Linked DNA regions of Rattus norvegicus. The protein of the gene in region 6 purifies or fractionates together with the protein of the main gene of each other region. This does not show direct contact. Links are inferred from orthologs where the notes say so. Each region holds a gene or a part of one and is shown on either strand. Other genes may lie near its edges.

Region 1 (4,034 bases), on a different chromosome or scaffold from region 6:
AAGGAAGGAAGGAAGGAAGGAAGGCAGGCAGGCAGGCAGGCAGGCAGGCAGGCAGGCAGGCAGGCAGGCAGGCAGGCTGGCTGAGTGGCTGGCTCACTCACTTTCGTCCAGGTTGATGTAGTCCTGCCGCTCCTCCTGGTCGCCCGTGCGGTGGTTTCGGGAGCGCTGGAGGATGTGGGCCCTATCCCGAATGTGATGCCCAATGGACATCTGCTCTAGGCCACTGTCTGAGTCCCGGACAGTCCTCCGTGTCTCCCGGATCTGGGACAAAGGGACCAGACACATGCAATTGTCCCCACAAAGCCCTGGCTACATCACCCTGGATGAACACACCACCCACGACCCATTCCTGAAAAAAGACGTCCCTGGTTCCTGTGTGTGCCAATCAGTCCTACCTCCTCTGAGATAGGGGAGTTCCTTACTCACCCCGCCTGGGGCAGAGCGCATCTCAGATGTCTCCTGGTAAACCTTGGGGGCACCATCCCCAGTGTTGGAGTAGGAGATGACCGTGGAGGAAGAGAAGGTCTGGCAGTTGCCTCCGGCGGCCATGTGCTCCTGAGGAGAGACTGAATGAGGAGGGCCTACTTTGCAGAAGGGAGCTCCCTCCAGCTGACTGCTCTTGCCTCAGCTTTCTTAACTACACAAGGAGAATGGGCATCACAACTGCCCAACTCCCTAGCCCAACACTAACACATGTGATCGCTCAGGGGTATAAGAACACACACAGGACCCCGGTGCTCTGGCTCAGCTCAGTCCAACCCAGCCTCTTCACTAGCACATCACCTCACCCCCTCCCGCCATGTTGGCTGCCACCGAGATCAAGGCCGGGGAAGACTGGAGCAAGTCATACCATGTTCCCAATCATGTCGTTCATCATCCCAAACATGTCCATGAAGCCGCCGGACTGAGGAAAGGAGAGGGTCAGGAAGATGGGTCAGCGGTTGTGGGCCTGTCACTCACCTGAGGACAGACCCGCTTTCCTTCTTAAATGTAGCCAGAACACTCATGCTCCTCCCCATAAGCTGCTGGCCACCTTCTCGGGTCTGTGGCTGTTCTGATGCTTCTCCTACCTGTGCATTTCCCTATCTTTAAGGAAGTGACCCAAAAGCAGTGAGTTAGCTCCTCTGAACATGCTAAATGTTGACGGTTTGCCTTTAATCCAACACTGGGAGGCAGAGGCAAGCACAGATGACTTGTGGCCAGCCTGGTCTACAGAGTGAGTTCCAGGAGACCCAGGGCTGTTATAAAGAAACCTTGTCTCAAAAAACCAAAATCCAAGACATCGACCAAAAAACCCTCTGAATATCTAGAGTTGTAAAAGTGTCCCAAAGTCTCCCTCCTCAAAAGAACTGCTATACAATCTTACTTTCCCCAGTGGATAAGAACTTCCAGCTATCAGGAGTATTTGAGCACTTTATTTATATTTTTCTATGAATGAGTGTTCTGTCTGCATGTATGTGTTCCCTCCATTCATGCAATGCACGGTAGGGAACAGAAGATGGCATCAGATGCCTGGAGACTACAGACAGACAGTTGTGAGCTGTCATGTGGGTGCTGGGAACCAAACCCTGGTTGTCTGGAAGAACAGCCAGGTGCTCTTAACCCTGGAGCCATTTCTCTAGCCCTAGCTCCATGATTTATATTCAATGGGCTCTAAACTATGTCAACTATCCAGAGAAGATTTTGAGACCACCCCTAGACTAACATTGTCACCAAAGTGGCACATCTGAAAATAACATCTAAGGTCTGTGTGTATCTGTGTGTCAGAGAAAGAGAGAGACAGAGACACAAAGAGCCAGAAGAGAGAGACAGACAGAGACACAGGAGAGAGAGAGAGAGAGAGAGAGAGCGAGCTCGAGGGGAACAGAGAAGACAAGAACTCACCATTCCCAACATCCCAAAGGGAGAGACAGCCCCAGCCTACAAGATAAGGAACAGAAGTTAGAACTACATCCTACGACCTTACTATACCAAACGTGGCCAGTGCCTCCATCCCCCAACCCCATCCTTCTCTCCTCGGGAGTCAAAGCCCCCTTTCCCAGATTCTCTATCCCCACTCCTCTGCCTCCCACACAGATCATGTCCTTTTAAAGCTGGTTGTAGGACCAGAATGGCAGCATACTTAACTAGTCACCCTGGGTCTCGGTATGTTCCAACTGTTACCTGCATCCTGCGGCTGGCAGGCCTGGTTGCTGGCATGTTACCATCTGTGATGCTTAGGAAGGGGCTATATCCAAAGCCACCTGACAACATGCGGCTCATATGCTGACGGTGAATTGCAAAGGGGTCCCTGTGGAGTGAGCATACAATACAGACGGCAGATTAAACCCCAGCCTTCTTCACCTCCCCCCAAATAAGTCAGGGTGCGCAGTGGCAGGAGACCAACTCCCGTCTGAGAGCTGCAGCTAAATTCTATCCGGTTCCAGACACGGGAACCCAGAGGTCTGTCTGAACTGCTCAGACCTGAATTAGAGTGGGATGAGTGCACGAGGGGGGAGGGAATTCTCACATCAGGAACATGGGATCCTCAGGCTCCACGTCCCTCATGAAGCGGAACATCCTGATCTCAGCTCCAGGGGGCTCCACACTGTGAAGATACGGAGGCTGAGTTTCATGCAGGCTTATGCACACCAGCTCAGTGTAGCTACTCTTAAAGCTGTCTCTTGCACACACTATCAATGACCCATCCAAACTCCAGAGAGACCCTTCGGCAGGTGGACCACATAACCTTCTAGTTTTGAGAGCGAGTAGCTCTCCAAGCCGGTCACGGAATTTTCCCCAAGCTTCTTAGTGTTGCCCCTCCACCCCCGCCCGCCATCCTCTTCCCCGAGCCACGGTCAGCTCCTCCTCCGACGCCAGTCTCGATGAGAATCTCGAACGGCGGCCCGCCACCCCATTAATGACCCCAACTACTCCGCCTTCTGCTGGCACGGGCCGCTACCAGGCCTCTCCGGGCGGGCCTCACTGCCCACCGAGCCGGTCCGCCGCTGCCCCAACCCGTGCCTCCCGCCGGGCGAGCCGGAGAGGGAGGTCCACTCCCGGGCTCGCATCCCTGCAACCGTGCGGGCCGCGCCGCCCTGGCCTCACCGGTCCCCGACTCGGGCTCAGCGGCCCATCCGGCCGGCCTCTCCTCGGGGCGCTGCAGGAGCAGGGTCTCGGCCCGGGACGCAGGGATTGGTCCGCGCGGGAGCTTCTCGCCTCCCGCACCGCCTCCTGCCTTCAGCTGCCACCTCCGTACCCCCGCCCTCGGCCCGAGGAGCCGAACCTCGGTCAGGCCCGAGCGGAAGTGACGTCATGACGGACAGTCTTGGGGGCGGGCCACGGGAGCTCCACCCACCTGCATGGGAGGGGGCGGCGGGCTCGCGGCGGAGCCCCGGAGGGCGGGTCCTCTGGGGCCGGTGGGAGGTCTCGTTAAGCTGGCACGGGGATCTGGGGACAGGAAGAGGCTCCTGCAAAGGTGGGGGAGGGCGGAGCGGAATCGGGAGGGACTGGTTGAGCGCGACGGGGGCAGGGTGTGCCGCACCTTCTTTGCGGGAGGGGGGAGGCGGTCTGTCTGGGGGCGACCGGTGGGGCGGATCCCTGCGGGGACCTTTAAACTCAGTGCAGGAGGGGCGCTTAACCAGGGGAGCGCGGGGGCCTGTCCCTCTGGAGAGACGCTCCGGCGGGCGGGGTCCTCCGAGTGACGCAGAGGAGGAGGTGACAATTTAGCTCAGGTCTAGTTCAGCCTTGGAAAAGGCCAACCAGGGAAGGGATGTTGGGAGTTTGGCCGCCAGAGAGCGCTCCTGGGCCAGGCTGGATCTTTACTGCCTTAGGACACCGGGTTGGCTTAGGCTTCTGGACCACTCCAAGACCTGTCTGTGAAGGGTTGGCCTGGGCAAAAGCGTTAGTTCTGATGTTTGCTTTTTGTTGTCGGCTTTTTAGTTTTGGCTTTAGTGCTCAGGATCCAACTGAGGGCTTCGGGTTTGCCAAGCACATGTCCTACCACTAAGTTACATTCCAGTCCCATTTCTCTAGCTCTTACGTCTTTAAAACTT
Region 2 (4,148 bases), on a different chromosome or scaffold from region 6:
CTGATGCATGCTCAACTTGTGACACATTAAAGCAAACATATTTGAAGATGCTTGTTACTTTAGTTACTTTCCTCCTGCTGTGATAAAACATCATGACCAAGGCAACCTGTAAAATAAAGCATTTAATTGAACTTAGATACAGAGGGTCTGAGTCTATAATGGCCACAGAGATGCCCTGAGCACTCACATCTCAAACCCAAGTCGAGGCAGAGAGACACTAGGAATAGCTTGAATCTTTTCAAACCTGCCCATAGGGATACACTTCCTCCAGCGAGGCCTCACCTAAGTCCTCCCTGGTGATGAGGACAGAGAGTACAGGGAGGGGGAATTCAAACAACCACATCTGCCTGGCTTAGTTGCCAACCTAGCACAGAGGCAGACACTCTACCGCAGAGCTGTGTCTGCAGCCCCTTTTATTTTTCTTTTGACACAGGCGCTTGCTGAAGCTTCCCAGCCTAGCCTTGAATTCACTCTGGCCTAATTCACACAACTCTGTCTCAGCCTCCAGCGGAGCATTAGACCTGAGACTTGCCCAAGCTCAGACTTCCAAGACGTCCACAAAATGTTCAGATTTCTCGGTCGTGTCGTGAGATGACCGTGTTTAATGAAGCCAAGATAATCCACCGCTCATTAGTATTAAGATGAGTTCAGGATAAGGATGGGGTGGGGGGTGGAGGGGTGGGACTAGAAGCCAGTCGTACTTAAGGGGCTTGTCTCTGTTCAGTGATCTAATGGCTTTGAGTTCTGAGTGAAGGAAGTAAATGAACTTTGTTTCCCTGTGCATTTCTGTATCCTGTGCATTGAGAGAGCAAAACACGACTTTAAGTGGACGCGGCTTTGTACTTCAGCCCTGCTGACCTCTACAGCTTCTGACACATGAGCCTACCGAATATCATTCGCAGAGGATTTAAACAAGTTATGTGTGAAAGTAATAATCCTTTCATTGGAAAGGCAAGACAACACAGATGCACTTGGCTTCTCCTTATTTGGAGCCTGTGGTCCAGGCTTTCCCTGGACTCTCCGGAGCCCGCCTGGTCACCCGACAGGTCGGGCAAGTAGAGACTGCCCTTTAGGGCGTCCTGAATTGTCTCCGGCTCTCCCCACGTCACGGGCAGCACCCACTACGTCCTTGCTGTGAATCGTGGGTGCTGGGAGGAACGGCGTGGGCCCTCGGCGCCCCGGGGCAGGGTCCCCCACCCAGGCGTGCGGGCGGCTGCGCCCGCGCCTGCCCTTGTTTGGCCGCGCGGCCTCGGGGGTGGGGAGCCTGGGAGGTGGGGGCGGTGCCGTCCGCGTCAGCGGCGCCTGCGGTGACGGCGACGTGCGGCCCGCGCCACTGCTACCCGCGGACGCCGAGGACCCCCGGAGCTCATGGCCCAGGCGAAGATCAGCGCCAAGGCCCACGAGGGCCGCTTCTGCCGCTCGTCCTCCATGGCCGACCGCTCCAGCCGCCTGCTGGAGAGCCTGGACCAGCTGGAGCTCAGGTGAGGGCGGCGGGGGCGCGCGCGGGCGGGGGCGCGCTCCGGGTGGGCTCCCCTCCCCCGGCCGGCAGCGCGGCGAGCCAGTGCGGCTTGCAGAACTTCCAGATCCTTCGGCGCGGTCCCCCTCTGCCTTTAACTTTCCCGCTTCCAGGGGGCAGGCAGCAGGTTGGTGTGGTCCTTCCCCCCTCCCCTGTAATAAGTTTCTTTGCCCCAGATCACTTCATAGTAACACAAGAGTAAGTTTTAAAAAAGAAAAAACCCAGGACTGCCCCTCCGGGGGACCAGCGAGAATCAGACTCAAAAGGGGCCGCGCGAGATACCGAAGTTGGATACCATCCTTCCTTCTCTTAACCACGTGCAGTGCCCTCTGCAGTCTGTCCGTGTATGTTGTGCGTTTAGAAGACACAGCTGACACTTGGGAAGTGCCAGTCGCAGGTCTGAAAACACCAAAGGCAGGCGTCACACTCTCCCTGAGATTCTATCACGGGGACGGCCTTGTAGTAAAATTTCTAAATCGTGAATACTACTAGCAGATGCTGTGAATACTTGGCTTTAGCAACATGAGCCCCGGTGTATCTGGTGGGAACGTTAAGGTCTCCAAAGTTGTGCAAGTTTTGATTGTGTGCAGGCGCTGTTCCATGAAAATCGTATGGAGACACCCTGACACATGTTGTTCCCTAGTTTTCTCCAGGTTCTGCATAAGCAGAAATATGAGCCAAAATCTTAAGAGTCTTGTGCGTCTTCATCTCTCTCCGTGCATCCACCAAACACAGTATGTTTGCACAGAAAAATACAAGCAGTGTTTGTTACAATTGAGGTGTTCGCTATTTTTACTATTAGGAGAAAAGAACCAGAAGGTGAGAAACTTTTAGTCTCTGGAGTAGCAACCACAAGAGAAGCCTGAACCCTATGTCCCCCAAACCGGAGGGAGACAAAGGGACCTATGCTGAGAAGGGAGGGGGTCAGCATTAAAGCCCCTCTGAAAAGAGAGGAGTGTTTCCCTCTGTGAGGTAGGCTCCGAACTTTGACAGTACATTCTCAACTGCTCCGATTTTTTTTTTCCTTGAAGGGTTCAGGAAGTTGTCACTCTTCCTCAAGCTGAGTCATTGTTCAGAAACTTGAGTTAATCCCTGCCGGCCATGTGCTGAGTCCCTCCTCTCCTCCTGGGGGCCTCTTGAAAGTCTGGGGGTTGCTTAGTGTTACATTCTAATGTCTGACTACGTCAAAGGAATCTCAATTCCCGGCCCATAGGAGATTAAATTATGTTACTTATTAACAGTTGCGCTGAAGGGGGTTTCTTACTGTGTGTTTAGTGGTTCAAGGCCTTTACCAGTAAGCGCAGATTTCTGTAAGTCTTGTTTCTCTTTAAAAATGTGATGCGCACTTAGAAGTAAGTTTGTCAGAAGGTGAAAGAAATGGGGGGAGGGATGATGCTGCCTTTTAAGGTTTGGGGGCCCTTTTTAGAAGCCACCTGGACAGTGTCACAGAGCAGGACACTTTAAAATTAGGCTTTTCAAACATGGGTAGAGAAAGATGACGCTCCTGTGACGTCCCTCCAACTTTCTTAGTGCCCATGTGTGGGAAAAGCAGTGGATGGGGTAGTGTAAGTCATTGGTTGGTAGCCAGTGTGCATCTTCCATTCAGTTGAACTGGTTCTGTGGACTGAAACCACATCAAAGGCTTTATGTCCTGCAGGATGAACTGACCTCGGGGGGTGTCCGAAATGCTTTAAAATGTTTTATAAATCGGTAACAGATGCCGTTTGTTTCTAATGGCTTATGATATTAACGACACCATCTTACATTAAAACAATATTTTATTACTACGCCTCCTCTCCTGCAGTGCTTTCTCTAAAAAGATAATCCCGTCCTTTCCTGATTTACATGACCAGCTCTATGGGGATTCTGCGCTTGTCGAGGCCGAACGCCTTACTCTTTAGTGGTTATCCTAGTTTATAAATCATCCATGTTAGCATCAGTCTGTAGGCTAGGCCTCGTGTCTCTGGGGGAGTTACCGTTATCTGTATTGCGCAGATGAGAAGTTGAAGCTCAGATATACACAACATGCTTCAGTCCAGAGCAGAGCACTTCACATGTGAACACGGGAAGACCGGCTGCTCAGGTCAACACCATGTGTCCTGGTCTTGAATATCACTTTTCAAACTGTCCGTCTGACCTATGAATGAATATGATTTTACTAAAAGAGAAGAAAATCAATTTAGCGTTTGAGTCAGTAAACATTGAAGACCTGGAGCATGTCTGTTATTGAGTAGCTTCTAGGAGCTGTGGGTCAGGGGCTGGGCTTTGGACATTGGCCAAGGAGGTATAATGGTTGGTAGGACTGGGAGATCGGCTGCTTACACATCTCCCAAAACCGATCATGTGGTGAGCAGCTCCTTCCCAGTTCACTCAGCCAGCAGGGGCCAGGGAAACGGGCCACCCCCTGCTTTGGTTTCTGACTGTTTAAGGTTCCTGTTAGCATGTGCCAGTGTTCCAGGACCCACAAAGCAAGTTGACACCATATTTAATTTGTCGTTAACAGTCTGTAATTTAGAAGGAACGCTTTTCGTGCACACTGTCATTTGAATCTTATAAAACCCCCGAGGGAGGAGGGCGTTATTATCTTTTAGCAGTGAGAACGATGGGCTGTGATGGGACTTGGTGGGAAGGA
Region 3 (2,455 bases), on a different chromosome or scaffold from region 6:
CCTCAGCCTGAGAACTGACTGCTGCCACTGCATGAAGAGCTACCTGAGGAGAAAGCTAGGGATTGCCCAAGTATATACAAGTATGTACTACAGCTCCCGCTTAGCTGTGGACCAGAAGCATGATCAGTGTCTTCAGAAGCAGGGTAGGGAGTCCTCACAGGAAGACGAAGGTGCCACTCTCCTTATCCTGCAAGCTCTGACCAGCTCTCTGCCCGCTTCTGATGTTGGTCCTCACTGTGTGGGGACCTCCCCAGCCTTTCTTGATCTTATCCTTTTGTCCCTCCTGCCACAGCCCATGCTGCCTCCTCTCCCAGCCCCTGGCCCTGGCCTGGCTGGAGCCAAGAGCATAGGATACTGTTGCTTGAGGTCTCCTGCCATTTGCCCTCCCTCTTGTGTCTTGGTGCCTCCAGATCAATGAGGGCAACAGCTTCTTCGTCAGTGATGCCCTCTTCCAGGTAGAATTCCACCAGGTGCAGCACCTCTGGGGGGACAGGGAGGGGCTGGGGATGGCTTCAGGAGAGCTTTGGGACTGTCACTCACACCAGGCAGTGTGTGAGCAAATAGAACAGCCAGAGCATGTCCCCTTTCCCAAGCAGCCTCTCTGCAGGCAAGGGGCACAGTGCATGTGAGAGGACCAGGTCCCCAGCAGCCCCTCTCCCCCACAGTGGCTGTTTTGAAAGAGGTAGGCCAGGACTGCTCCCTCAGCCTCTCAGACTGAACAATGGACCCAGCTTGTCATTATAATGAGAGTGGGACTTCTGGTTGGGACATGTTGGGCCTTGCCTCTGTGGATTCTGACAGCAATTCTGTATCTACGGCATGGTGGCATCACCTTCTGCACAATGCCCCATGTCTGTAAAGCAGTGGGAGGGCTCACCGTAGGAAGAGGCGGAGAAGATGAAGGGCTGGCGGCAGTTGATGCAGACATTGCCAAGGTTGTTCAACAGTGGGTTGTTGGTAGAACAGCGGTAGCACAAGGGAACCAGCTCCTATAAAACAAGAACACGTCTGCCCAGGCTGAAGTGGAAGTGTGCAGACCTCCCCTCCTCCCAGGGCCAAAGACTGCATGCTGTGGGGAGGCTGGCCAACTGAAGACTCCACCCAAGGCTCACTGCCCAGACACCTCCTCCTAGGCGGGCCTCAGCAGGATGCTGTCTTGACAGGAACAACTCTGTCCACTGTCAATTCCTGCCCCTCACCAGGTTCTAGGCACTGTGTTGGGTGCATCGTTTATGCTGCACTAGTACCTCCTACCACCTGTGGGGAAGGGTTTATACACACACCTGGTAGAGCAGGAAACTGAGGCACAGCTAGGAAGCATAGACCTGGGGTCTGAACCCAGTCTATCCCAGTACACTGGTAGGGGAGCCAAGAGCACAGCAGTCATCTTCCAACAGAACACAGACCAGGTTCAAAGACATGCCCTTACCTCACTGTCATGGAAGGGCTTGGAGCGGATGGTCAGGGTGCCCAGCTCAATGGACTTCTGGATCCTGGCAGGGATCTGCAGCCCCCGCAGCTTGTCATAGGCATGCCGGGCCAGCTTGTAAGCACCCAGAGCCTTGCTCTGCTTGGCCAATGTGAAGAGTGTATTCCTGCCATTGATAAGGTTAAGGACAAAAGGGGTGTGAACTGGAGCCCACACTATCCATCCCTGGGCTAGAAAGCATCTTGTGTAGGTAGTCACTTCTGTGTTTCTATTGGACAACACCAGGGGAGGCTCAGCACCCAACTTAACCAACCTGTAAATCAACACAACTTTTGGGACAAATTAGACTCAGGTACCAAGATAGCAGGGCTGAACCTGACCTGTCAGTGGAAGGGTTATCACAGTGAAGGCCATTTGTTTGGCCCTGAAGAGTAAATAATGAGTCTGGACCATTCAGGAAATGAGTTCTTAATGGTGAGTTGGGGTGCTTTTCTGGGACGGGTTCCTACATGAGGCAGGCAGGTGAGCCAGATGAGAAGAGGGAAATGAAATTACTTTCAAGCTTGTGAAATGTTGGGCTATTTCTCTTCTGTGCTTCTGATCCTTCTGTAGCTCTCGTTGGCAGAGGAGAAGTAGACTCCCAGGACTTGAAGTACCCCACATAGGAGCTGGGCTTGTCTACATCCACCTCATGAAGCCTCTATACACCCACCCTATCTATGGTCTTCTCTGCTGCCTTAGTCTGGAGCATGGAGTCCCCTCCTTTGGATAGCTGTCCCTGACTAGGCCCAGCCTTACCTTAGTGGAGTGTGGAGTCCCCTCCTTTGGATAGCTGTCCCTGACTAGGCCCAGCCTTACCTTAGTGGAGTGTGGAGTCCCCTCCTTTGGACAGCTGTCCCTGACTAGGCCCAGCCTTACCTTAGTGGAGTGTGGAGTCCCCTCCTTTGGATAGCTGTCCCTGACTAGGCCCAGCCTTACCTTAGTGGAGTGTGGAGTCCCCTCCTTTGGATAGCTGTCCCTGACTAG
Region 4 (4,017 bases), on a different chromosome or scaffold from region 6:
TCCACAGCAGGCACATTTTGCAATTCTTAATTTTCTCTGTTTCTCTCTTCCCCTCCCTCATTCCCTCTCTCTCTCTCTTTTTTAAAGATGTATTCATTTATTATATATAAGTACACTGTAGCTGTCTTCAGACACACCAGAAGAGGGCATCGGATCTCTTTACAGATGGTTGTGAGCCACCATGTGGTTGCTGGGAATTGAACTCAGGACCTCTGGAAGAGCAGTCAGTGCTCTTAACCTCTGAGCCGTCTCTCCAGCCCCTCATTCCCTCTCTTAATTATTGCTTAATCGAAGCTCTCCAGTCTCTATCACTAGCCTAGTGGCAGGTGAAGTGTTAGTAGCCACTGATTAATGTTTTCATCTGACGGATAGACTCAAAACCTAGGCCTTCCTTAAACAGAACATCCTGTCGCAAAGAAGTGCAACTGATTTAATAAAAAAAAGATTTATTTATTTTTTATATATGGGAATACACTGTCACTGTCTTCAGACACATCAGAAGAGGGTATGGATCTCATTACAGATGGTTGTGAGCCACCTTGTGGTTGCTGGTAATTGAACTCAGGACCTCTGGAAGAGCAGTTAGTGCTCTTAACTGCTGGGCCATCTCCAGCCCCGGAACTGATTTTTAAAAAGGCTTCACGTCCTTTCCTGCTGCAGACAAGCACTGTTGATCTCTGACATCACGTGCATATTTACAAACAATGCGAAGTCTACACAAGTGAGATGATGAAGTCGGCCACCGCTTTAAACCGAACACTAGTCTTAACGAAGCGGAAGTGAGAAAACACACTTCAAGAGCTGTGTTGATACAAATGGTATTTAACTTGGTAGAATAAACAAGATTCGCACTCTCCACAGCGGATCCGCTACAAGGATCATTAGCCTGCCGGAGAGACGCGGGCGTCGTTGGGGTGCTCAGCGGCTTCCCTCCCTGCCAGCGCCCCGGCGTCCCGCTTACCCGGCTGGACGCAGCATCCCTGCGCTCCGTAGCGCGCTCACGGGCCAGCCGAACGCCGCCGCCGGAGAAGGACCGGCAGAGCAGCCGGCGAAGAGCTTTGCTTCCGGGCCGCAAAGCCGCCATGGCCCGCGCGTACGGCAGGATCGCGACAGTGGAAAGGTTGGCTTTACGGCAGCGTCGCAAAGCCTGGGGCGACGCGCGGCGAGGCCGACCCTGCGCATTCCCTGAGAGGGACGACCGGTTGCGGGGCCCGCACGGACGAGGAGGCGAGTTTTCTCCGGGCTCGGAGCTGAGGGGCCCGCTGTGCGAGGACGGCGACAACGCTGCGGAAGTGGAGGTGGCGGAGCGCGATGGCGCGTGCGGCACAGGTGAGCGCTGCGCGGGGGCGCGACCTCCGAGCTTCCGGAGTCGGGCACTTGGCCACCCTCGCTGCGCAGGCCAGCGCCCGCCGCGCGCCCATTGTGAGGTCAGGTGGCGGCGCGTCCGGCCCGGCCGAGACCCGGGAGCGGCCGCCGCGGCCAGTAGCTGCCGCCGCCTCCGCCGGCCCCTTCACCGGCTGCCCGGGTCAGACCTAGCCGGGAAGGGCGAGGGGGATGACGCTGGGGGCTCCGCTCCGGTGCCGCTCCCCGTGAAGGGCCGATCTCCCACCTCGCCGCCCTCCGCGGCAGCCAAGACCGCCGCCACCCAGACCTCTCGGAGTAAAGCGCTGCGAAGGCCGGGCTTGGACCCTCCCCAGGGACTGAGTTCTGTGGCCTGCCCGCCAGAAGTGAGCTGTTTGACAGAAACCTGAGAGCGTGGGAAATGCTCTAAGCACACTTACGGGGAGGCGAGTGACCGAGTTAATCGCAGTCGTCAGGTTTTTGCGGCGGGTACTTGAAGTCGAGGGCGAGGATTTGGACGTTTTCTTAGTTCCACTTTCTGAAAAGTAGCAAGTTTAGCTGTCTGTCCGAATGCTGCTCCTGTCAGTTTGGAAGAGCTACTTCCACAAGGGCACCCTGCTGGTTCCAAAGACTAGCTTAGGTTGGTGGGATTTCAGGAGATTGTGTTGCTGCTAACCCGGTGGGTTGACCTAGTATATGAAAGTGTATGCAGCTCGCTTTCATGGTTTAAGACAGAATTCATAGGCCTAGACATCCACCCAGGCTGGACCATGAGTACCTTCCTGTCTGTTCTTAAAATCCCTGCCGTGTTCCCTTATTTTCTTTTTGCTTTTGATTCTTGGTGTCACCAAGTAGTCCTTGGCGATCTTGAATTCGTAATTCTCTTTCCTCTGTCTCCCTGGTGCTAGGATGGTAGGCATACACCAGCTCACCAGCTTGGTTGGTTTGTTTTTTGTACCTGTTCAAAGAGGCAGTTGACATGTCACATCTTCCTTTTCCTCAAGTGTCTTTTAAACCTTTGACAAAACCCTCCGTGTGTTTGCTGCATGCCCAGCTGCCAGAGTTTGACCTGTCCACCCGCCATCGTTTCTGTGGTGTCCTTTGGTTTTGTTTTTTGAGGCAAGGCTTCTCATTGTCCTGGAGCCCCTCAGTTAGGCTGGCTGGCTGGCCAGTGAATCCCAGAGCTCCATCCGTCTTTGCCTCCCCGGCCCTGGGAATTTAACTGGGCACCGTCTTGCCTGGCCTTTCTGTTTTATTTTATGTGTGTTGGTGTTTCATTTGCCTGCATGGATGTCTGTGCACCATATGCGTGCCTGTAGAGTACAGAAAGGAAATCAGATCCCCTGGAACTGGAGTTACCATTAGTGGTGGTCATGAGTTGTCATATGGGTGCTGGTAATCAAACCCAGGTCCTCTAGAAAGCATTCAAGTCTCTTAACCACTGAGCCCTCTCTCCAGCCCCTTCCCTGGCTTTTTTTTGCACGTGTTCTGGAGTTGCAACCTGGACACTTGACTAAGAACTCTCTCCACAGCCCCAGTGAGCCCTTTTAAAAAGTGTACTAAAAAGGAGTGTTTGGATTGGGTTATTACCCTAAGAGACTAATAAGTTATCGTTCTTGCTATCTTTCAGTGCTTGTGAAACTGAACACACAAGTATGGATATGGGAAACCAACACCCTTCTATTAGTAGGCTTCAGGAGATCCAACGGGAAGTAAAGAGTATAGAGCAGCAAGTGGTTGGCTTCAGTGGCCTGTCGGATGACAAGAATTACAAGAGACTGGAGAGGATTCTGACGAAACAACTTTTTGAAATCGACTCTGTGGATACAGAAGGGAAAGGAGACATCCAGCAAGCTAGGAAGAGGGCAGCACAGGACACAGAACGCCTTCTCAAAGAGTTGGAGCAGAACGCGAACCACCCACACCGGATTGAAATCAAGAATATCTTTCAAGAAGCTCAGGCCCTTGTGAAAGAAAAGACTGTGCCCTTTTACAGTGGAAGCAACTGTGTGACTAGCGAGTTTGAGGAAGCCATCCAGGACATCATTCTGAGGCTGACACATGTTAAAACAGGAGGGAAGATCTCCTTGCGGAAAGCAAGGTACCACACACTAACCAAGATCTGTGCGGTACAAGAGATTATTGAAGACTGTGTGAGGAAACAGCCTTCCCTGCCACTTTCCGAGGATGTGCATCCTTCTGTCGCCAAGATCAATTCTGTGATGTGTGAGGTGAACAAGGCCAGAGGTACTCTGATTGCACTTCTGATGGGCGTGGACAGTTCTGAGACTTGCAGGCACTTATCATGCGTGCTGTCAGGACTGATGGCTGATTTAGATGCTCTAGATGTGTGTGGGCGTACAGAGATCAGAAATTATCGGAGGGAGGTGGTGGAAGATATCAACAAATTACTAAAATATCTAGATTTAGAAGAGGAAGCTGACAATACACATGCATTTGACCTGGGACAGAACCATTCCATTATAAAGATAGAAAATGTCCTCAAGAGGATGAGAGAAATGAAAAATGAACTTCTCCAGGCACAGAGCCCTCCTGAATTGTACCTGAGGTCCAAGACAGAGCTGCAGGGCTTGATCGGGCAGCTGGACGAAGTGAGTCTGGAGAAAAACCCCTGCATCAGAGAGGCCAGGAGAAGAGCAGTGATTGAGGTGCAGA
Region 5 (3,500 bases), on a different chromosome or scaffold from region 6:
AAGAAAAGGGGAAGCTGAACTGCTAAGGCGTAAATCCCAGCTTTACCACTGTCTATCAGACCTGGATCAGACCCTTGATCCGTTTATGACTCGGTAGCAAGGGCCAAAGGACTGAACCCACTACCAAAGCCTCTGTGAGGACTGAAGCATGCTAATACAGAAAACACACAGTATGAGGCCTAACCACTGATGCTGCGCCAGGTTAGCTATAATGAACACATCTTAGAAACATGAAACACCAACTTACACTAACACCATAGAACAATGCGAATTTACACTGCGTAATAATAGCAATAATAATACCAAATGCAGGACACATACCTCAAGTAAGTATCTTATCGAATACGGGAGAAGGTTCCGCAAGGTGAGAGGAGGGTAAAGATGAATAATGTAGGCTGGATCCCAGTCTTCCCCGTGGGCACCGATGTAGCTCAGCTCATCGGGCAGGGCAACCGTGTTCACGATGAGCGGTAAGAAGTTGACTTCTACTGCAGGGCACTGCAACATGCACCTGACCTCCCTGCTACGGTGAAGCTCCTCTTTCCAGGAAATGTACGTGGTGGACTGTGTGTACTGCTGCTCTAAGCTGCCAGCCGGCTGAACATACAACTGGCATCTACAGGCAGAAGGCATGGAAGAGAACCTCAGACTCTTCACGATCTCTCTATAAGGTGGGTTCCGATATTCTTACAAACATAGAAACCACTGATAAGAAAGTTTAGAATATGCACCAAGCAACAAAGCTACTGACAGAGGAAGGACAACTTGAAATAGTTTCATTTTAACTATAAAGGCAAGCTAATAAAATATATACTCTTAGAAAATTACAAAGTATCAAATACCAGATGAAGAAATTATATTGTAAATTCAATGATAACATGTATTTCTGATCAAAAGAATAAATTTTATATGTCCTAAAAATGGCTGTGGTATGATTAGAACAATAAAAATGCAAGGCTACTCTCCCTAAACTAGAGATACAATTCATAAAACTAAGAATACACGAGTTTGTTTCCTTTCTGTAACTAACAACCCACATTCATTGTACAGATTCACAGGACTCACTATAGTGTCTCCACACACAGCATGCTGACGTGTGCACTCACACTCTGGACTCGACCCCAGCACCCTCTAAGACCCTAAAAATCCTTAAGCTCCTTAGCAGCGCCGCCCATCCATACCAGCTCTGCCGACCTGCAGCCCATTTGGAAGCTAAGCACATGCACAGGCGTGCACACATGCACAGGCGTGCACACATGCACAGGCGTGCACACATGCACAGGCGTGCACACATGCACAGGCGTGCACACACACAGGCATGCGCACCTGTAGGAATCCAAAGGCACATGGAACTCTTCCTCGGGTTTCACTATCCCAATGCGCTCCAGCAGCTTAACATTCTTGACAAATTTGTAGATGATGAATGCTATTGAGAAGTGGTTTTTAATCTGTTGGCATAGATATATAACTTTTAAAATTATACATTAGCTGAATAGAAAGCATTAGTAGCACACACATTTATTTTAGATCTGAGAAGTTTCAACTTAATATTGGAAGTTATTCTCATTGGCTACCAACAATATTTAGGTATCTAAGCATTACCTATAAACACTATGATTAAGTGTCGTTCAATGTTTAAGTGACAGTTCCAAATCGGCATTGCCACATCATCTACATATGACATGTGTATACAGTTAGTATATGCCACCACTGAAGATGTACCACTCATGAAGATTTCAGCCATGTTTTCTCCATTACAACCTCCCTTTAACACACCGTGTGACAAAGAAACCAGAAAAGCCATGGAAATCTTTCCCTGTCTGCGCTGGGCTCTGTGCTGCAGCTAAAAACAACTTAAAAAGGGTTCCAAATCGTAGATGAGTCCCAATCTGTATGCACGAGTTAGGTGGGGAGAAGTGTTCCTTACACCAACACATACTGAAGCCTGGAGTTAATGCTGGAAACACTAAAAGGTTTAGTATAACCAGAAGAGCAGAAAGAAAAACGTTTATATAGATTAAACTGCCTTTCTCTTTCTTTTTTTACATGAGGTCATTCTAAACATCTTACATACATCAGAAAAAAATATGGCCTCAAGTGATGGTATACTAAGAGCGTGTGGCTATCCTACTTGACAATCATCCATTATCATAGCGTCTAAGTTTGAAATTTCCAAAGAAACATAATAATGTTTAGATGTTTAAATGTTTCAAATCTCTGAAGAAAAATACTAAATGCTTATGGGTTTGTGGCCAGAAAAACTGGTCTTACATAGGTAAGTACATACATACATACATACATACATACATACATACATACACACACACCTGCTTTTCAAGCCATGTAAGATAAACCACACTAACAGAATGGGGTAGTAGCAGACTCTGCTTCACTTTGGCATTTATTTCTGAATAATGAGTTGCTTACTGCACATCCCAGTCTCAGCTAAATGACTGAATTCTGCCTGGCATTCCCAAGGGGACACATTACCTTATAGCATTACCTGCAGAGGAGAGCGGAGAGTGACCACCTTATTGCCTTCTGTAGCGTCAATTTGTACCAACACAGAATCTGAACGGCTGGCACTGGGATTCCGTACATTATACAATCTCCGACCAGGCCTGGCAACAGGAACACTAGCCACTTCTGTATAGCCATGTGGTACTGAAGAGGAAGAGAATTAGATATATCTATGTTTTAATAATAACCAATCCTGACCTGGAGAAATGGCTCAGCAGTTAAAGGTACATGTGTTCTTGTTGAGGACCTGGGTTTGATTCCCAGCACCCATATGGTAGCTCACAACCATCTGTAATACCAGTGATAGAGGATCCAAGGTCCTCTTCTGGTCTCCAAGGATACTAGGTATGCATGGTTCACAGACATACATGCATGAAAAACATCATAAAATAAATAACTTAAAATAGTTACTCCTCACAGTAATAACAAGGGTATGTTTTCTCATTACTAGAAATATGTTTTTCTAAGATTCTGAGATAAAAAAAAGAAAAACAATTACTAATATAAAACTTTTGCTACAAGCAATGAGGAGGTAAGTGTGCTAAAACAAATAGAAAAGATCATCCTGAGAGAGGTAACACAGACCCAAAAAGTCAAACATGGTGTGTACGCAAATGTAAGCGGATATTAGTCATAAAGTACAGGATAACCTTGCCATAAACCACAGATCCACAAAAGCTCAGTAACAAGGAGGGCCCAAGTGGGGATGCTTGAATCTCCCTGAGAAGGGGAAATAGAACAGACCCTGGATATGGATGGGGGAGGGGTGGGAATGGGAACAGGAGGGATAAGGTGGGTGGGGCAGTAAGGGAGTGAATACTGGGAGAGACAACAGACTGGTAGGGGCAGAGATGGTGGGAAGCATCTCCAGAATGAGCTAGAAACTTAGGACAATGGAAACTCCCAGGGAATCTATGAGAGTGGCCCTAGCTAAGACTCCTAGCAATGGGGGATGTGCAGCCATCTCCTGTAACCAGGCA
Region 6 (3,500 bases):
ACAGCAAGCCCAATTTATAGAGTGCTAGCGACCACAACTGTGCATGCTAGGCAAGCACTCTACCGATTTCCATTCTCTTCTGTGGGGTAAGGAGCAGGGAGATAGTAAACCCAGGGCCTGAAACATGTATAGTAGGGTCTACACAACTAAGCTATCCCTCCAGCCCAAGCTTCCATTCCTGTGTGACAGTAGGTATGATTCTGGAATGAATAAGGGTTAGCCTCTCAGAATTGATAATGCAATTCATCTATGTTTTCACTGGACAGACTTAGTCATTCACTTAATTTTATTAAAAAAAAATCACGTATACTGGCAGCTTTTATATCTCAATGGTGATGATCTGAGGGGCTCTATACCACTGACCAGGGATTTTTTGGCTCAAGCATTAGTAAGTAGTGTTTGTCCTCTGGACTTTATGGTTTATAGTTAGGAATAAAATTGGCATTGGAAAAAATGACACCCAAGAACTTCCTTTCCCTTAAGGACCTTTAAAACCAGTACTACTGCCCCAGGCTGAGATTGGGGGTAGGGGAGAGATAGGGTTGGGAAGGTAGCTTGGCGTGTATAGCGCTTTCCTAGTGTGTATAAAAACACATTAAAGCTGTATTGATGCTGGCCTCCAATCCTAGCACTTGGAAGAGGTGGAGACAGGAGGATCACAAGTTCAATGTCATCTTCACTATACACATAGAAAGTCTGAGGCCAGCTTAGCCACTTGTAAGAAAAGGAAACAACAACAGAATTGAAACCAGGAAGTTCTTTGCTTAGAGAGCAGGAGGAAATGAAATGACTTTTTTTTGTCCACTGTGCCAGGTGTTAAACCAGAGCCATGGTGTGTACATGTTTCTGTGGGAACGCAGGCTCACACTGAGCAAGGAACACATAATGAAGGCAGGAGGACTACAGTGAATGTTGGTCTCACCTTCCACTTTGAGACGGGGCCTCTTTTTTACACTGTATATATAATATGCCAGGCCAGCTGGCCTGTGAGCTGCTGGGGACTCTCCTAGGTCTCTCTCCATTTCACTGTAGGGCACCATGATTATAGACCCCAGACCTTATGTGGGCTCAGGAGATTTGATCTCAGGTCCCCACTGAGCTGGTATCTCCCCACCAGTTCAGAATGGTTTGGAATTCATTCTACAGCCCACACTGGTCTTGTACTAACGACGCTGACTCTTTTGCCATCTCACAAGTGCTAGAGTTGCAGGCTATGCCACCACACCTAGGCCAGAAGACATGATCTGAGAGGTGCATTCTGGCCCTCGTACTGTTCTGTCTGAAGAAGACTCTCTGGAAGACGGGTTAAAGAGCATAGTGAGCAAAGAGGCTGGGGAGCATCTGGGGAAATACGGCAGGCACATTCCTTTCCACAGAGCCCACTGGGCTCGGAATACTCAGCATGAACTATTTATCTTGGGCCTAACTAACAGCGGTTTTTATACAGCTGCACCGCTGAGCCAAGTGAAATTGCTTTCAACCGTACTTTCCCTGCTCATGACAAACAGCAGGTACACCTCAGGAAGACTTCCTTCTTTCCTCTTCTAAGCACCATAAGTCCATTCAACAAAACACTTACTGAGTGAGCCAAGCACTGTGCCAAGTTAGAGCAGAAGTGAACAACACAAAATAAAATCTCAAAGGAAATGGATTCACATGTTAATGAAAGGAATTTGGGTCAGGCATCAGAGGAAACTTACTGACCGTGAGGGGCGTTAGACAGGCATGGGAGACTGAGGGAGCGTGTGCAATCTCCTCCGCTGGAGGTCTATAAAGATAGTCTAGGACTGGAACAATCCCACCTAGAGGCAGGGGGAAGGACCAAATGACCTCACAACATCCCTGGGTCTGTTTTGTTAATCCAACGCAATTCCCCTAGTTAACCAGTGGCAACCCCGTCCCCCCAGCCCTCCAGAGCACTCACCACTGAGCTCTTCTCAAGTAGGCTTTGACGTAAGTGTCATCAAGCTTCACTGCATTTGTACAGTCTTCTATGGCGTCTTCTAGTTTCTTAAGCTTCAGGAGAAAGAAAGAGGGAGGGAGCACAATCACACTTCGTGTCGCCACTGACAATATGAACATGGCTAGATCCCTGTCCTACTGTGTTCTTGGTCTTGGTCCCTGGGAAAGTCAGAGGGCTAAAGACAACAAATTTCAAACTGGTTTCTTTACTATGAGATAAAGGCCACGCCATTACTGATTAAAGTGCCTCTAGTGTGCCATGTTAGTGTCTAACCAAAACAACAAACAGAAGGGTGGTCCCTGCCCTCTACTCTTCACGGCATAAGTACAAAGACCAGAAAGACTAAAATTTCTACCTACTAGAATTCTATAGAACCTAATCTCTCTTATGGTGCAACAGGGCCACAGGAAGACTACAGTTATTCTCAGCTACCCGTATTCAGCCATTTATCAAAGCCTAATTAACACTGTTAATTTCCTCTGTCTCTTTGCTGAAGAATAAACAAATTCTTGCTCAAATGAGAAGAGACAATACTTATTCAAATGGCACAGACCTGCTAGTTGCTCTCTCTCACAAGAGCAAAAAGACAACTGGGAAAGAACAGGAGGGAATGGTCAGCCAAGCTGACTCTTAAGTTCTCAACACCACACACAAAAAGGCAGGTTTGTTTCTTAGAAGGCAGTTCCTTACAGGACGAGGGGCACTGTTCTTTTGTCCAACTTACTCTGGCTGAGCAGATCTCTGAACACCTCTGACCCCCAGATCAAGTGCTTACCTTGGAATTAACCGTACCCCGATTACAGTAGAGTTTAGCATTTGTTTTTATGTTGTTGGGATCTATCCCCAAGGCTTCTGTGTACAGTTCATATGCTAGCTTGTAATTCCCTTCCTTAAAGGCTTTATTCCCATCTTCTTTCTTGGCTTTAAGGGCTTTGGCATTCTGGAGAAGAGCAAGGGGTGGTCAATTCAGTCCACATAGCCTCAGGTCACTCTTTCTCACCGTTTTTTCTCTCTCACCTCCAGCTGTCTGCTACGACACAGCCCCTTGCATGCATGGCCCCCTCAGGGAAGTTTCAACAAACTGGCAAGTGGAGCTGTCACATTCCCACAGGTCTCACTTCTTCAACTCTAGCTAGCTCTTTACTCCCTTCTCCTCCCACTTTGAGAGCAGGGATGGAACCTAGGGCCCCAGGCATGACAGTGTGACACCTCCTCACCTCACTGAGCTACAGCCCTAGTCTCACTCATAAGATATGAGAGGAAGTTTTATCCCCACTTTCAGATTCTCAGAACACAAGGCTTAGAACTTACTCTACAAGCAAGACAAGCCTTCTCGTGGTCAGGAGCCATCCTGAGAGCCTGTACAAAAAACTGCACTGCCTTCTCAATACAGTCTTCATAATAAAGGCAAAGACCCCGGACATACAGAGCATCAGCATTGGTGGAATCCATTCGTAAAATGTCACTGTAACAAAGAGACCAACACCTTCAGCTGTGGTGCACAATGTCTTGACCATTCCCACCATCTGGGATCAAA
Region 7 (3,500 bases), about 22 Mb from region 6:
GCTGAGGATTTAAACTCAGGACCTGTTAAGTATGTGTGAGAGAGATCTGTTGTTTTTAGAGGTTAAAAGATAGTTTTGTAGAGTCAGTTCTCCCACTTTTTTATATGTATGCGAGTGCCTAAATGTCTGTATATCAGCTGCATACCCTCTGACACCAGAAGAGAGGGTGTCCAGGGTATCAGATCCCTAGAACTAGAATTACAGGCGGTCACTAATGTTGGTGCTGGAAACCAAACACTGGTAAAACAGCAAATGCTCCTTACTGCTGAGCCGTCTCTCCCGGCCCATCCTTTTCCCCTGTATTGTGAGTTCAGGGTTGAGCTTAGGTTATCAGACTTGTTCAGCAAGCATTTTACCTACTGAGCCATCTTGGCCCCTGGCTGTACTTTCTTGAGGTCTCACTGTGTAGTATTAGTTGTTTAGCACTTGATAGATAAACTAGTCTGACCTCAGAGTCCAGGAAGCCCACAGACCTGTCTTCCTCTGATCCCGGCTGCTAGATTACATGTGTTAGCCACTATGCCTGGGTTCACAGTAGTTCTGTGTGAAGATACAAAATGGCAAAAACACAAAGAACATACCAGCTAGGCATTGTGGCTCATGCTTATAACCCTAGCACTTGAGAGATCAAAGCAAGGTGGAAAACTCTCAAAAAATGTTATTAGGTGATTTTTAAATGAACTAAAATGATCACATTATCATTAGGTGATACAACCTTTTGTTTTATATTTGTGAGAGTCTCAACTATGTACTCTAGACTGTCATAGAACTATATATAGTCCAGGATGGCCTCAAATCTATGATGTTATTCCTGCCTCACAGCCTCTTGCTGGTATTACAGGTATGGGACTATTGTTGGACCTGCAATCTGTCATTGACTGAAGCATTCTTTTGCAGCACGTGACTCTATTGGAAACACGGCCATCTAAGGTGGTGGTAGAATAAGCTACCTTTTCCCAGGAGCTAAAGGTCCCTCAATGTGTTTGCAGGTGAAGAATATTGAAGAGCACCGGGAACGTAGTCTGGACTCTGTTCAGGAGCTGATGGAAAGTGGGCAGGCAGTGGGAGGCATGGTTACCACAACCACAGGTCAGCTCTCTTCCCTCTCCCAGAGTAAATGTGCATCCCAAAGGGACCTCATCTTCTTATCTAATCTACCTTCTGCATTTTTCCTTTCTTTTCCTCTCAGTCTGTGTAGGCCAGGCTGTCCTCAGACTCATGAGTTTAGGCAGGAGCTACCATATGGCTTTTATTTTATTTTTGAGAGTACTAGAGATCAAACTCGGGGATTTTTACCTTTGATTTGCAAACCCAGCCCTGTCTATCATCTGTCTTTCTCTTCCAGATTATCTATCTGTCTGTCTGTCTGAGACGGAGTCTCATTATGTAGCCCTGCCTGTCCTCACTTTCATGAATATTAAGCTGGTCTAGAACTCATAGAATATGTTACCACACCTGGCCCTAATTTTTCTGTTTTTTGTTTGTTTGTTTTAATGATTTATGTGCATTGGGGATATATATATATATATATGTGTGTGTCTGTGTGAGGGTATCGGATCCCCTGGAACTGTATTTACAGACAGTTCTGAGCTGCCATGTGGGGACTAGAAACTAAACCCTGGGTCCTCTGGAAAAGCAGCCCATGCTTCCAGCCATTGAGCCACCTCTCAGCCTCAGCTTATCTACTTATTCTTAGCCTCAGTGTATGTTGAAGTAATATTTTTTTGTCAGTCTTGACTGGAAACATTTTTGGAATTCCTTAGACATAATATTGAGATGGGAGTTCTTATTACACCTTTTGTGAAGAATCTCTTTGTCCTCTTGTTCACTTCTTCCCAGATTGGAACCAGCCAGCTGAAGCCCAGCAAGCCCAGCAAGTGCAGCGGATCATTTCACGTTGTAATTGTCGGATGTACTATATCAGCTACAGCCACGACATTGACCCTGAGCTAGCAACTCAGATTAAGCCACCTGAAGTTCATGAGAACCAGGAAAAGGAGGATCTCTTAAAGAAGCAGGAAGGTATCCAAGGCATTTCTGAAAGTAGTTATTTCTTTAGTGGTTTTAAGAGAGTAGACAAAGGGATTCCTGTAAGCTGTTGGTAATAACATTTACTTGGCTCTGCATTTTGTAAGTCCAACCATTAGAACAACCTGTACTCTTAGAGGAAGTTGGGACAGTGGTTACTTGGGATTCTATTCTGAAAGAAACATATTTCTATTCCCGGGTGCCTCTTCTTCCCTTTGTGTTGGAATGACCAACATGAGTGGTTCCAAATATTCTTTTTTTTTTTTCTTCTTTTTTTCGGAGCTGGGGACCGAACTCAGGGCCTTGCGCTTGCTAGGCAAGCACTCTACCACTGAGCTAAATCCCCAACCCCAGTTCCAAATATTCTTTAGGGTGGGTATGGTGGCGCAGAACTTTAATCTCCACACCCAGAAGGCAGAGGCAAGTGGAGCAAGGTAGAGGCCAGCCAGGACTACGTAGCGAAACCCTGTCTCAAAAAACAAAACAAAATATGGGTTAGGAGGGTGACTATATAGGGAGAAACGTGAACCTGTTATTTAACTGACTGCTTATAATTTTTCAGGGGCTGTGGATACTTTTACTCTTATCCACCATGAATTGGAAATTTCTACCAACCCAGCTCAGTATGCTATGATTCTGGACATTGTCAACAACCTGCTTCTCCATGTAGAACCCAAGCGGAAGGTGAGCATGAGCCCTTCTAGAATTCAAGTTAGGCTCACCTGAACCTTGATCTTGTCGTTTTCTTCGATCCAGTTAAGTAAAGTAATGATGGGCTGGTGAGATGGTTCAGTGGATAAGGAAGAAACTAATACCTCACCCTGAAAGGGGGACTTATGATTGGTAATTACAGCTATTGGAATTCATATTGTTAATGTTTGAGTATCTCTAAGACTGTATAGCTTGTTCTAGCCAGGTCTCTACTCAGTTACTAAACATTTCTGACAGTGGTGACTACACATATCTGCCTCCATCTCTACCCTGTGAGCCCAGCTTATGAAATCATCCACATTGCAGATCTTTTATACTGACCTACACCTTACTCTTGCTACTGATCACGACCGGTAAAGGCCAGCTTTCCAGAAGAGAGAGAGCACCATTCACTTTTCTACAAAACATATTAAGAAACGTTAATTCAGGGGCTGGTAAAGCCTGTACTGAGCCTAGCCTGCGTGAAGCTGTGGGTTTTATTCACAGCGCCACACAAAAGTACACGTTTCCCTCTTCCCTTTTTTAGGAGCATAGTGAAAAGAAACAGCGCGTCAGATTCCAGCTCGAGATCTCCAGCAATCCTGAGGAGCAGCGCAGCAGCATATTACACCTGCAGGAGGCTGTGCGGCAGCATGTGGCCCAGATACGGCACCTAGAGAAGCAGATGTACTCGATCATGAAGGTAGTCATCCTGGGTAAACTGAGGACAGATCTCTTAGTCTCCTATGATAGACACAGAGATCTCTCTCTCTCTTTTTTAT

What was found.
Region 1: the proteins of Dnajc7 (region 6) and Mlf2 purify together in Homo sapiens (affinity purification with mass spectrometry; 3 studies listed by BioGRID and IntAct, with this or other methods). This does not show direct contact. The link is inferred for Rattus norvegicus from reciprocal best matches to the Homo sapiens genes DNAJC7 and MLF2.
Region 2: the proteins of Dnajc7 (region 6) and Bag2 purify together in Homo sapiens (affinity purification with mass spectrometry; 7 studies listed by BioGRID and IntAct, with this or other methods). This does not show direct contact. The link is inferred for Rattus norvegicus from reciprocal best matches to the Homo sapiens genes DNAJC7 and BAG2.
Region 3: the proteins of Dnajc7 (region 6) and Ift122 purify together in Homo sapiens (co-immunoprecipitation; 3 studies listed by BioGRID and IntAct, counting the BioPlex papers as one, with this or other methods). This does not show direct contact. The link is inferred for Rattus norvegicus from reciprocal best matches to the Homo sapiens genes DNAJC7 and IFT122.
Region 4: the proteins of Dnajc7 (region 6) and Bag5 purify together in Homo sapiens (affinity purification with mass spectrometry; 4 studies listed by BioGRID and IntAct, with this or other methods). This does not show direct contact. The link is inferred for Rattus norvegicus from reciprocal best matches to the Homo sapiens genes DNAJC7 and BAG5.
Region 5: the proteins of Dnajc7 (region 6) and Vps13c purify together in Homo sapiens (co-immunoprecipitation; 4 studies listed by BioGRID and IntAct, counting the BioPlex papers as one, with this or other methods). This does not show direct contact. The link is inferred for Rattus norvegicus from reciprocal best matches to the Homo sapiens genes DNAJC7 and VPS13C.
Region 7: the proteins of Dnajc7 (region 6) and Bltp2 purify together in Homo sapiens (co-immunoprecipitation; 3 studies listed by BioGRID and IntAct, counting the BioPlex papers as one, with this or other methods). This does not show direct contact. The link is inferred for Rattus norvegicus from reciprocal best matches to the Homo sapiens genes DNAJC7 and BLTP2.

What each region holds. Positions count from the first base shown.
Region 1 is NC_086022.1:159,425,165-159,429,198, reverse strand, and holds the start of Mlf2 (myeloid leukemia factor 2), read right to left. Parts: upstream 2,801-4,034; 5' UTR 2,560-2,800; coding exon 2,510-2,559; intron 2,291-2,509; coding exon 2,164-2,290; intron 1,921-2,163; coding exon 1,885-1,920; intron 905-1,884; coding exon 851-904; intron 556-850; coding exon 427-555; intron 262-426; coding exon 102-261; intron 1-101.
Region 2 is NC_086027.1:43,473,838-43,477,985, reverse strand, and holds the start of Bag2 (BAG family molecular chaperone regulator 2), read left to right. Parts: upstream 1-1,348; 5' UTR 1,349-1,368; coding exon 1,369-1,481; intron 1,482-4,148. UniProt on the Homo sapiens protein: Co-chaperone for HSP70 and HSC70 chaperone proteins. Acts as a nucleotide-exchange factor (NEF) promoting the release of ADP from the HSP70 and HSC70 proteins thereby triggering client/substrate protein release.
Region 3 is NC_086022.1:150,643,642-150,646,096, reverse strand, and holds part of Ift122 (intraflagellar transport protein 122 homolog), read right to left. Parts: intron 1,596-2,455; coding exon 1,430-1,595; intron 990-1,429; coding exon 878-989; intron 482-877; coding exon 356-481; intron 1-355. UniProt on the Homo sapiens protein: As a component of the IFT complex A (IFT-A), a complex required for retrograde ciliary transport and entry into cilia of G protein-coupled receptors (GPCRs), it is required in ciliogenesis and ciliary protein trafficking.
Region 4 is NC_086024.1:136,590,479-136,594,495, reverse strand, and holds the start of Bag5 (BAG family molecular chaperone regulator 5), read left to right. Parts: upstream 1-1,217; 5' UTR 1,218-1,329; intron 1,330-1,771; exon of another isoform or gene 1,772-1,787; intron 1,788-2,971; 5' UTR 2,972-2,996; coding exon 2,997-4,017. Other genes in the region: Coa8 (cytochrome c oxidase assembly factor 8), read right to left, coding at 962-1,084. UniProt on the Homo sapiens protein: Co-chaperone for HSP/HSP70 proteins. It functions as a nucleotide-exchange factor promoting the release of ADP from HSP70, thereby activating HSP70-mediated protein refolding.
Region 5 is NC_086026.1:77,477,999-77,481,498, reverse strand, and holds part of Vps13c (intermembrane lipid transfer protein VPS13C), read right to left. Parts: intron 2,665-3,500; coding exon 2,504-2,664; coding exon of another isoform or gene 2,492-2,503; exon of another isoform or gene 2,491-2,491; intron 1,449-2,490; coding exon 1,327-1,448; exon of another isoform or gene 1,323-1,326; intron 672-1,322; exon of another isoform or gene 617-671; coding exon 322-616; intron 1-321. UniProt on the Homo sapiens protein: Mediates the transfer of lipids between membranes at organelle contact sites. Necessary for proper mitochondrial function and maintenance of mitochondrial transmembrane potential.
Region 6 is NC_086028.1:86,023,841-86,027,340, forward strand, and holds part of Dnajc7 (dnaJ homolog subfamily C member 7), read right to left. Parts: intron 3,429-3,500; coding exon 3,275-3,428; intron 2,904-3,274; coding exon 2,739-2,903; intron 2,017-2,738; coding exon 1,925-2,016; intron 1,803-1,924; exon of another isoform or gene 1,705-1,802; intron 1-1,704. UniProt on the Homo sapiens protein: Acts as a co-chaperone regulating the molecular chaperones HSP70 and HSP90 in folding of steroid receptors, such as the glucocorticoid receptor and the progesterone receptor.
Region 7 is NC_086028.1:63,674,604-63,678,103, forward strand, and holds part of Bltp2 (bridge-like lipid transfer protein family member 2), read left to right. Parts: intron 1-989; coding exon 990-1,089; intron 1,090-1,839; coding exon 1,840-2,022; intron 2,023-2,590; coding exon 2,591-2,712; intron 2,713-3,265; coding exon 3,266-3,421; intron 3,422-3,488; exon of another isoform or gene 3,489-3,500. UniProt on the Homo sapiens protein: Tube-forming lipid transport protein which binds to phosphatidylinositols and affects phosphatidylinositol-4,5-bisphosphate (PtdIns-4,5-P2) distribution.